Linked DNA regions of Canis lupus familiaris. The protein of the gene in region 2 binds, or shares a complex with, the protein of the main gene of each other region. Links are inferred from orthologs where the notes say so. Each region holds a gene or a part of one and is shown on either strand. Other genes may lie near its edges. The genes, in order: ANP32E, RUVBL1 and UXT.

Evidence for each region.
Region 1: RUVBL1 (region 2) and ANP32E share a complex: the UniProt entries of both Homo sapiens proteins name them as parts of the SWR1-like complex. The link is inferred for Canis lupus familiaris from reciprocal best matches to the Homo sapiens genes RUVBL1 and ANP32E.
Region 3: RUVBL1 (region 2) and UXT share a complex: the UniProt entries of both Homo sapiens proteins name them as parts of the PAQosome complex. The link is inferred for Canis lupus familiaris from reciprocal best matches to the Homo sapiens genes RUVBL1 and UXT.

Annotation. Positions count from the first base shown.
Region 1 is NC_049238.1:60,124,632-60,128,282, forward strand, and holds part of ANP32E (acidic leucine-rich nuclear phosphoprotein 32 family member E), read right to left. Parts: intron 3,515-3,651; coding exon 3,339-3,514; coding exon of another isoform or gene 3,309-3,338; exon of another isoform or gene 3,294-3,308; intron 1-3,293. UniProt on the Homo sapiens protein: Histone chaperone that specifically mediates the genome-wide removal of histone H2A.Z/H2AZ1 from the nucleosome: removes H2A.Z/H2AZ1 from its normal sites of deposition, especially from enhancer and insulator regions.
Region 2 is NC_049241.1:2,142,776-2,146,426, forward strand, and holds part of RUVBL1 (ruvB-like 1), read right to left. Parts: intron 1,392-3,651; coding exon 1,302-1,391; intron 513-1,301; coding exon 363-512; intron 1-362. UniProt on the Homo sapiens protein: Possesses single-stranded DNA-stimulated ATPase and ATP-dependent DNA helicase (3' to 5') activity; hexamerization is thought to be critical for ATP hydrolysis and adjacent subunits in the ring-like structure contribute to the ATPase activity.
Region 3 is NC_049260.1:41,480,423-41,484,173, forward strand, and holds the start of UXT (protein UXT), read right to left. Parts: upstream 2,351-3,751; 5' UTR 2,191-2,350; intron 2,014-2,190; 5' UTR 2,005-2,013; coding exon 1,907-2,004; intron 925-1,906; coding exon 828-924; intron 703-827; coding exon 635-702; intron 358-634; coding exon 250-357; intron 1-249. UniProt on the Homo sapiens protein: Involved in gene transcription regulation. Acts in concert with the corepressor URI1 to regulate androgen receptor AR-mediated transcription. Together with URI1, associates with chromatin to the NKX3-1 promoter region.

The DNA.
Region 1 (3,651 bases), on a different chromosome or scaffold from region 2:
GAGTCCTGCACTGGGCTCCCCAGAGGAAGTCTACTTCTCCACTTCTCCCTCTGCCTACATCTCTGCCTTTCTCTGTGTGTCTCTCATTCTCAATAGCTAATTGCTTCTCCAGATTTTTAAACAAAATATGGGGACACTTGGGTGGCTTATTGGTTGAGCGTCTGCCTTTGACGCAGGGTGTGATCCCAGAGTCCTGGGATCGAGTCCCATATCAAGCTCCCTCCATGGAGCCTGCTCCTCCCTCTGCCTATGTCTCTGCTTCTCTCACTCTCTCTGTGTCTCTCATGAATAAATGAATAAAATCTTTAAATATATATATATATGGTTACATTAACTGATTCACATTTTTAAGCCTTTTTTTAAATTGAAATATAGTTGACACACGATGTCACCTTAGTTTCAGGTGTACAACAGGGTGACTCAACAAGTCTTTACCTAAAGCTATGCTCACTGCCAAGTATAGCCATCATCTAAGCCTTTAGTTTTTAATATCATTTTAGATAATATCCCTCAATAAAAACTCTGCTTTCACCAAAGGCTTATTCAGTAGAAACTATGGTCTCTTCCTAACTAATGGGAAATCCATGTTTCCTCACTATACTATGTATAGTACAGGAGCACCACTATTTCCAATTCTTCTAAAGCCTCCACCCCCATTTTTAATGAAGTGTACTACACAAACATAAAGTCCATCTTTTTACATATTAATTCCTTACCTCTGAAGAGTAACTGAAATAAAAAGAATACTCAAACCAAAAATAGCTAATCAAATCCCATTTCTATCTCCTTCTACTTTCTTTCTTGAATCTTGATAGTCTCGGAAGCTTCTACTGACTCTCACCTTCTAAACATAAGGTTACAACACAACTAATTAAAAATATTAAAAACAGGGAGCCCCAGTGGCCCAGTGGTTTAGAGCCGCCTTCGACCTGGGGTATGATCCTGGAGACCTGGGATGGAATCCCACGTCAGGCTCCCTGTTTGGAGCCTGCTTCTCCCTCTGCCTGTGTCTCTGCCTCTCTCTCTCTCTCTCTCTCTGTGTGTGTGTGTCTCCCATGAATGAATAAATAAAATCTTAAAAAAAATTAAAAAATAAAATAAAATGGTATCAGAGAAAAATTATCACTGATCAGGGATATTATCTAACCAATGTAAAAGTCCTTAGGAGAACAAATAAGAATACTAATAATTTCTAGTCTAAATTAGAGATATATTTTTTTCGGCTTTATTTATTTATTCATAGAGACACAGAGAGAGAAAGGCAGAGACACAGGCAGAGGGAGAAGCAGGCTCCATGCAGGGAACCCGACGCGGGACTCGATCCCAGTTCTCCAGGATCACACCCCGGGCTGCAGGCAGCGCCAAACCACTGTGCCACCGGGGCTGCCCTAAGTAAGAGATATTTTTAATAAAAAACTCTGAATTATGCAAACAAACTCAGTAATTTAAAAACATTAGGAGGAAATAGTAATTCCCAGGGGCAAAAGATCATTTATTCAAGTCAACTGACACTTCCTGTGAGCTTACTATGTCCCTGTTAATGTACTAGACACTGAGATATAAAGACAGATGACCCTCCCTTTATGGAACTCGCCATCTAGTAGAAAGTAGCCAAGTAAACAAGTTTTTACAAAAGTATCTATGAGCAAGAGAAGACTAACCAAGATTCAAAGGTAACGAAGGGGGATGCCTGGATGGCTCAGCAGTTGAGCATCTGCCTTCGGCTCAGGTCCTGATCCTGGAATCCGGGATCGAGTCCCACACTGGGCTCCTTGCGGAGAACCTGCTTCTCCCTCTGCCTATATCTCTGCCTCTCTCTCTCTCTCTCTGTTTTTCTCATAAATAAAATCTTAAAAAAAAAAAAAAAAAGGTAATGAAGGAAGGAGTATAAAAAATTATAGATAAAGTTTCAATAATGAGGCAACTCCAGAACTGAGTCATGATTTGGGTGGTAGTCATACAAGTATACACATAAGTAAAATGTGAACTTGTACATAAAATCCGTGCACTTTACAGGCTTTAACTATATTTATGTTTACCTCAGTTAAAAAAAAAAGCATTCATCAGAGAGCATGAGTAGCAAGTCATTTCAGATTAAGAGTAAACAATGTATCTTCAGACAGAAAGGCAAGAAACAGCTTAGTGTGAGGATTTAATTTAAAATTGAGGGGGATCCCTGGGTGGCGCAGCGGTTTAGCGCCTGCCTTTGGCCCAGGGCGCGATCCTGGAGACCCGGGATCGAATCCCACATCGGGCTCCCGGTGCATGGAGCCTGCTTCTCCCTCTGCCTGTGTCTCTGCCTCTCTCTCTCTCTGTGTGGCTATCATAAATAAATAAAAATTTTTAAAAATAAAATAAAATAGAATAAAATAAATAAAATAAAATAAAATAAAATAAAATAAAATAAAATAAAATAAAATAAAATAAAATAAAATAAAATAATAAAATAAAATAAAATAAATAAAATAAAATAAAATAAAATAAAATAAAATAAAATAAAATAAATAAAATAAAATTGAGGGAGAAGAGGCTAGAGAGGCAAACAGGGACTAGATAGTGATGGGTCTTGTATATATTTTGGTGGCAACAGGGAAACATTAAATTGTTTCAAGCAGGGCAGTGATATGATCACATTTGCATTCAGACTAAGCAAGCAAGCACAGACTGTGAAGGATACACCTAAGTGGTGACACTGTATTTAAGAGGCCATTTGGAAAACTACAACAAAACCATAAACAAAAAATAATTAGAGGGAAAGTGTTGCTGAGGGCCTACGATGTGCCAGGGACTAGATAATTTACCTATATTCTCTTGTTAAACCCTGAAAAGAGCCTAAGAGGTTGATATTATTTTCAGTTCTATAAATGCAGAAGCTGAAGCTCAGAAACTTTTGTAAAATGTTTCCATGAACCCTGCTGCTCTGGGCAGAATGGATTTTCAAGATACCTAGGTGGTAAAACCATAGGTGCTTATGATGATCTGTATACAGTTTTGTTTTTTTTTAATATTTTATTTATTTATTCATGAGAGACACACAGAGAGAGGCAGAGACACAGGCAGAGGGAGAAGTAGGCTCCATGCAGGGAACCCGACGTGGGACTCGATCCCAGGTCTCCAGGATCACACCCTGGGCTGAAGGCAGCGCTAAACCGCTGAGCCACCCAGGCTGCCCTAGATACAGTTTGAGCCAGGGGACAGTAGGAAAAATGACAGATAGACACGCTCAGACCTGCAAGTTAGTAACAATTTTCAGATTTCTTCACAACTGAACTATTTATAGACCTTGGCTTTATGCCTAAATAATTACTTTATTTAGTAATAAAGAAATGCCTATTCACCTGGATTTCTTCTTTCATTAAATATGATAGGCCCACTTCCTCTTCTCCCTCTCCCAATTCCGAGCCCGCTTCATCCTCATCCTCATCCTCATCCTCCTCTTCTTCCTCCTCTTCTTCTTCATATTCTTCAGGTGGACCAGCTTCATCTTCTTCCTCTTCATCATCTTCATCTCCATCTTTAAAAATATTTTAAAAGATGAGTGAGTGGCTGAGCAAATGTTTCTTGCTAGTACTTTAAGCCTATCTGCCCTTGCCCCAATCACTTCAAACTCTAAAGCCAATGGGAAGGTGGAAACTATCTCAGGGATATTTT
Region 2 (3,651 bases):
CTTTCTGAAATCCTGCAAAGGGCTCAAAGAACACTCCTGCCCTACACCATTAACACCCAGAGAATCCCAGGCTTGAGCCCGCTGCTTGGAGGGAAGCCACAGAAGAAGCTGGCTAACTCACGGCCAGAGGCTTGGCTGGGATAAGAAACAATACACATGAAATCATCTGTGACTAGAGCATTTGAATTGGAACAAAGGAGTCCCTCAGTAGCTCATGTCGATGTTAATTGCTGAACATTACAGATAGAAAAGGACCGTCTGCCCTAAGAAACGGCAGCAAGACTCTGACAATTCATTCCCAAAGCTTCTGTGAACACACAAAAGCGCTCGTGTGCCAGGTCATGCCGGCATCGAGGCAGTACCTGGGGCCGTGCGTTGGCCACGTCCAAATCATGCAAGGTCACATCCTGGATGATTTCTTTCTTCTTATGCACATCGCCCTTTGGCAAGGGGACATATTCTTCAGCTTCAAGGTCGAATTCTGTGGCGTAGGTATCACACCTGCCCTGCCTCTGCAGAAAGAGAAACCTGAGTGCCGGGTGAGTGTTCGCTGCCAAGTCTCCAAATGGCACAGTGCTAAGTGAGATAAAAGCCTCAGTTCCCAACTGCGGGCCTGACAGCCTCCTTGACAAACTCCAAACACACCCCACACCCCCGCTGCCAAGAGAAGGAAGCTATCTGCTCATCACTGGGCTCCAAAAACCCAGTTGAAAAACACCTGATACTTTCTCCAAGAATCTCTTCCCCCCTCTTTCTTTTAACTGTATGCAATTCCTGATAAAGGGCAAATCCAGTAGATTAACTGGAGACGGAGGGAGCCGTTCAGACTCTTTTGTAGGTAGGTGATTTATCGTATGATATGAAGTATTATGCTCATCCATTAAACAGTGAGGAACACTGTACAGGACACTGAAAATCAGATATAAAAAGAATGCCAACTAATGCAGCATTCCTTCCACATGCATATATCTTGGGAAGAAAATACCAAAGAGATAAAAGGAAGATTAAACGCACTGCACACTTCAATTTGAAAATGACTACAGTTGTTCTGCTTTCTCACGCAGTACTCCCCCTCTAAACAAGCTTTAGTATTTTTCGAACAGACTGTCTGTTTTAATCATGAGAAGGTTAAAGAATGAAGATAAAGGGAAAGCAAACTTTATTCAACATAAAGGGGCAACTGCTGACCTTCCCTCAGCATTGCACCAGACACCAGCCTCTCCTCGCATCCCATACTCCCTGAAGAAAGCACCCTCCCCTTGTCACTTAGGCCTCCTCATGCAAACCAGGCATGGTGTTACCTTCACAGCCCCACTGTTGGCTTCAATGTAGATCACATCTCCAGCTTCTACTCGCTCTTTCTGCAAACTTTCAAAAATGCTGGGGTCCAGCTTAAAAGAAAAAACAAACCCAAAAACATTTGACCCAGAGAACTGTAAAATACATATAATATTTATTTCCGACATACTGTAAAGTACCTTTCCACAAGAGACTTGAGGTAGCTAATGACTGTATGGAGAAAGTGTATTTGTGTGGGAGTGAGTGGAGCAGGAGTGGGTGTATAGGTATGTGTGTGTGTCTGTGGATGTGTGTGTGTGGATGCAGGAGATGAATAGCTTTGGGGATGTGTCCTAGAGACAGCAGGAGAGTGAGTGCACCCAGGGTGAGTGTGAGGGGAGACCTACTATCCTCTTTCCTTTTACTCCTGAGGTCGCAAACTGGCAAATATGGCTCTGACTGCTTTTAGGTGAGGCCCACGCTGTCTGTGAGACCACAGGCCCTAATAACCCCTTTTGAGATTGCTCTCTGCTTCAATTCTTCTCCTCCACTCCTCCTCAGGTAGGGGTAGAACTTCCTGCATGTGAGGCACCCAATGGAACCTGCTTGCTCTTCGTGGTTGGAACTTGGTGGTCCTATGATTTTGGACAAGGCTCTCTGAGCCTCTGTTTCCTCATCTGTACAACAGCACCCAGGTGTAAATATCCAGAGGGAAACACAAACCAGGCCTTTTGATTCAAATCCGTGTCTGCTCTCTGGGGCCTGCCTGCTTATACCTTCAGGAAAGGAGAGGAGCATGTTTTGGGGACCGTTTCTTTTCCCCTGTCTAAATTCAGCTACCCTTGATGTTCAGTATTCAAGGACAGCCATCTTTGGTCAGGAGTCAAGATTTAAACATAAGTTTCTCTCCATAAAACTTCATGGAGAGCTATTTCCCTTAGTTAACTTTATATTTTATAATGTGAAAAAAACGGGCTTTGTCTCAAACAAAATTAAAGAGTAAAAACTAAGAACTCCGTGAAAGAAGCCAGACACACAAAACCACATGCTGTATGACTCCATTTACATGAAATGTTCCGAAAAGACAAATATATAGAAACAGAAAGTGGATTAGTGGTTGCCAGAGGGTGTGGGTTGGAATGGGCACTACTGTCAATGGGCATGAGGTTTCTTTTGGGGTGATGAAAAATGTTCTAGAATTGGACAGTGGTGCTAGCCATACCATTCCGTAAACAGATTAAAATTCCTTCCTAAAATGGGTGAATTTTATTTAAAATTAAATTTCAATAAAGCTGTTGGAGACAGTAACCACAGGAATAAACCCAGAGTTCTGTGTCACTGGCAGGGTAGGGTCTGGCAGCCTCCCAGAGCAGCACAAGGAACAGTGTTTGGTAAGCCCCTGACGCAGGGCCTAGAACAAGGAAGGCACCTGATAATGATGGCAAGTATGATATTCTCTTCATAAATCAGTATCTACACCAAGTATCTTAGCTCCATTTGTCCAAATATCTTGTGTTTGTGTGTGTGTGTGTGTGTGTGTATGTATGTATGTATATATATATATACATACACACACACTCAAAGTAGCTAGAAGTACTCATTTGGGAAGGAAAAAAATTCATCTTCTCCCTTATGTTATTTTCTTGAAGAAACTGTGCAAAGAAGCCTGATGGAGAGCTGAAATGTAAATGTAAACTGCATGCCTTACTTCAGCTAACTTACACTGAGGAGTATTCTTTTTTTTTTTTTGCCTCAAGCATTTTAGTATTGGTTAATTTCCCAAATGAACTGTCTGAAGATGTAATTACTGGAAAGGTGGCAGATCCTACCAAGAAATCTAATTAATACAGAATGGGAAAAATGAGGGGGAGGTTTAAAAGAGGTATTTGCAGAGGCAAGCTCCTGAGATGGAAACCCTGGTAGGAAAAAGAAAAATGACCCTCTGAAGAAGTGACATTTTTATGATCTCCATAAAGCAGTGACCAAGAAACCACTTTACAGGATCAAAGAACCATAAAATCATGGAGGAGAGCAAAGATGGAGAAATTATATAGTCAATCTACCACAGTTCACAGATGGGGAAACGGTGGCCCAGAGAGCTCAACTGACTCCCAAAGATCACACAGCAAGTGGGAGGGTGAACAGCATAATGGCTGGGACTCAAGAGAATCCTGTCTGCCACTTAACCAGCTGTGTGATCCCAGGATAAGCTCCTGATGAAACCTCAGTTCCTTTATCTGTTACATGAGGGAAACTACACAAATGGCACACATACATGTAGAAAGCTATAAATGATAACAAATGAAATATTTAAGTATTTGCCCAGGCCTAGCACATCCAATAAATTAAGAGCTATGATGCTATTATAATTAT
Region 3 (3,751 bases), on a different chromosome or scaffold from region 2:
CCAAGTACAGAACCTGGCATAGAACAGCCAACAAATGTGTGTGTGAGTGAGCAATATCAAGACCATTTATGGAGTGCTTCCTATGTGCTATTCTTGGGGCTGAGCTTTGCATCTCTACTTTCCTCAGCCCTAGCCCTGGGGAGGAGGAGAAATGGGCCCTTAAGTATCTATCATCTCAGAGAGCCATGGGGAAAGGGAAAAGGATGTTGCAAATGGTGGTATTTTAGACACTTCATAGAATGGACTTACTCTGTGAGGAGATTGCTCTTACGATCAATGAACTTGAGAGCTTCTGCCAGTGTCAACTCCAGGAAAAAACCATATCCGAGCGCCACATAGATTCGTGAAGTGTCTGGGCTGAGGAAACAATGGTTAGAGGAAGTGGGGGAAGTCTTTATTACTGTTTAGCATACTATACAGTTTATTGGCAATTTTTTTTTACTCCACTCCTCCCACCTTCCCCAAATTAGAAGCTCTGAGAGGGCAGGGGTTTTGTCCTATTCGATTCACTGTCACATCCCCGGCACCTAGCACAGTGTCTGGTACATAGCAAATACTCAAAAAAAAATATTTGTTGCATGAAGGAAGGGGGAAGCTGAGCCCTGTGGGCTCAGAGGGGCAGGTAGACACTCACACAACTGTGTCAACGAAGAAGTTACAGCCCAAATCCACCTGCATATATAACTCCGAGGGGTTAGCTTCCTGTGGGGCCAGGGAAAAAGAGGTAGGGGTCAGTGGTCACCTTTCAGGTCAGCTGACAGGTTTTGGTCTGGGGTCTCTCCTCCCATCCCCCTCCCTTGCCCAAACACATCAAAATGGTCCCTAACCTTGGCTGTTTTTACCTGAAGCCGCTCAATGACATTTCTCAGTTGAAGGTATTTGGCCAGCTGCTCATATACCTTGTCGCGATGGTCCAGCACTTTTCTGATGGGACAAGAGGAAAATGGTGACCAACAGGAAGCCCTGGACCTGTCAGAATACCTCATATTATGACTGAGACCCTCATGTCACCATGCCTTAAAGAAGCATTTTAGTGCAGAAGTTGATTTGAATTGTGAGTCAGACTGCTTGGGTTTGAATCTAGGCTCTCCTTTTTACTAGTTGTGTGACTTCAGCAAATTCTTTAGGACTCATTTTCTCTTTAGGAGTCAATTTCCCTATCTTTAAAAAAGGGACGACAAGTATTACCTCACAAAGTCATTAAGAGAACTGTTTACTACAAAGCACTTACAATAGCACCTAACCAAAAACTAAGCTCTATATATGTTTTAGCTCTTATTTATTAGTACTATTACCACATTCCGTCCAATCAGGATGTCCCATTCTCAAAAAAAAAAAAAAAAGTGTCCCATTCTCACCCTAGAAAAATCTTCCATCCCTTTCAGGATGTTCATTATCCTGCTTCTGAACACTCTACTTCCTGCTCAGATTAATAGTGATAGTAACAATTTTTCATACTCATAGAGCCCCTAGTATTCACATTAAATCCTTTACAAGGGGGGAACACATTAAAAACTCAAAACCACCCCATGAGGAAGGTTCCATGAACTTTCCCATTTCACAGATAAGAAAACTGAGGCACACAAAGTCGAGGCAGCGTACAACGTCTTCACACAGATGGCGAAGGGGCCAGGCCAAGGATTCGAACCTAAGAACTCCCGCTTTAGAATCTAGCTCCACGGCTAAGTGAGATGGGAGGCCAGACAGGCGCGGACACACCCTCTACAAGAACCGCCACATCCCAGCCCAGTAGCACCCCGGATGTCGCCCCTCCTCGCCGGATCGGCGCACGGGGCTGGACTCCAAATGCCTTTCCCACCAATCAGAAGGCTAGACCCTGACTTTGGACGCCCCGCCCCCCCACGTGGAACCTTCCACACGCCCGGCCCTCCACGCTGCCACTCACCGCAGGTCCTGCTGTAGCACGTCACAGATGAAGGCCTCATAGCGCAGCACTTTCTCCCCCGTGGCTTCCACCGCCCGCCGTTTAGGGGGCGTCGCCATGATGGGCTCCTAAGGAATGGGGAGCGGAGCACACCACGTTGACCACACAGTTTGGCCTCAGGCACAGTACATCTGCACCCCCTCGACAGCGGGAGTGGGCTCGTTCGGCTCCGGCCGGGGTTCCGCCTTCTGCCCCTCCCAACTCTGGGACTCTGCCACCCAGGGACACCCAAACGCGGCCCTCACCTTAGAGCCGCCGGCAATAAGAACGGTTGCTATAAACCGTGGCTTCCGGGTGGCGCGGGTGAATGACGTACCACAAGGGCGCGGGCCAACCGAATAGCCGGGTGGGAAAGGCGGTTCTGAAGGGCTGGAAAGGGGCGAAGCGGAGGAGAGGAGGGCGGGGCTTTAGGGAATCCACCGAGTGTACTCCCGGCCGCGCAGCGTGGGAACGGGGCAGCGCGGAGCCTGTGGGGACTGAGCGTGGCTCGCGGGGGCGGGCCTTAATGGGATTTGGCGGGTTCCTGGGGGAGGCGGGGCGCACAGGTGGCGAGAGAGAAGCGTGTAGTATTTAAAAGTCAGAGCTTCGGAAGCAGACGGGCAAGAATTGGTTATGGTTCTGGTTTGTAAAAAGGAGAGTACATCCCGGGAACTGTCGCCATGGATTTTGATTTTTCGCACGGGAGATTTGGGTTTGATTCCCAGTAATGGGAATGAATGTGAGCATTAAATTTTTTTTTTTAAACGGAGACAGATTCTCTGAAACTCAGCTTTGGTAACTCCAGTTTGCAACCTGCCATCCATAACTAGGATCCAAGCAGATATTGACAAAACACTATGTCTATTACCTCGTCTAATAGAGGCATCAGGTGGCGGGTCGCTGAAGTCCTCTGCTCAAGATCGGCTATTCTGTAGTTAGAAATGTTCCTGAGTCTTTATTTAAATGTATAAACTTTTATTTATTTGTATGCACTCAAGTTAATGAATTTATTTCCCATGTTACATTTTCAAATAATAGCATCATACCCAGCAAGTCTTGGCTGAGCCTGAAGGAGAACACAGATACCAAATCCCTCAAATGCTATGCCTGCCTATAGGGCCGAGAGCCCCCACTCATGCCAGTGATGTCTTCTCAGATACTTTGTGTGTTTTGTGTGTAAAGGCAAGTTTTTCTTTCAAATGCTCAAAACCTAAGCAAGTCAAGCTTTTCTTTGCCCTAAGAACAAGATGATTGGAAAGGACATGTAATTTTTTAAAATGTTTTTTTGTAAATCTTCAAATATTACATATAGTTAAAGTTACATTTCGTGTGATTGAAATAGACACCAGGTAGTTAGACAACTATTATTGAGTTAATCTATACCATTTTCCTATGGGGAAAAAAAGAGGTGTTATGTTTATTATCTTTATTTATATATTTTAAAGATTTTGTTTATTTATTCATGAGAGACAGAAAGGCAGAGACACAGGAAAAAGCAGGCTCCATGCAGGAAGCCCGATGTGGGACTCAATCCTGAGACTCTGGGATCATGCCCTGGGCTGAAGGCAGGCGCCAAACCGCTGAGCTACCCAGGGATCCCCCCATGTTTATTATCTTTAACACAAAACAACACAGAGTTCTGAAGAACTGAAGATAGGTCTGTGCAAATCTACTAACTTACATTTCATAAAGCATTTTTTACTTTTTAAAGAAAAGGTTCTATTTATTTATCTGAGAGAGAGAGCATACACGCACCATGGGAAGGGTCAGAGGGAGAAGCAGACTCCCAGCTGATCAAGGAGCCCAACTTGGGGCTTGATCCTAAGA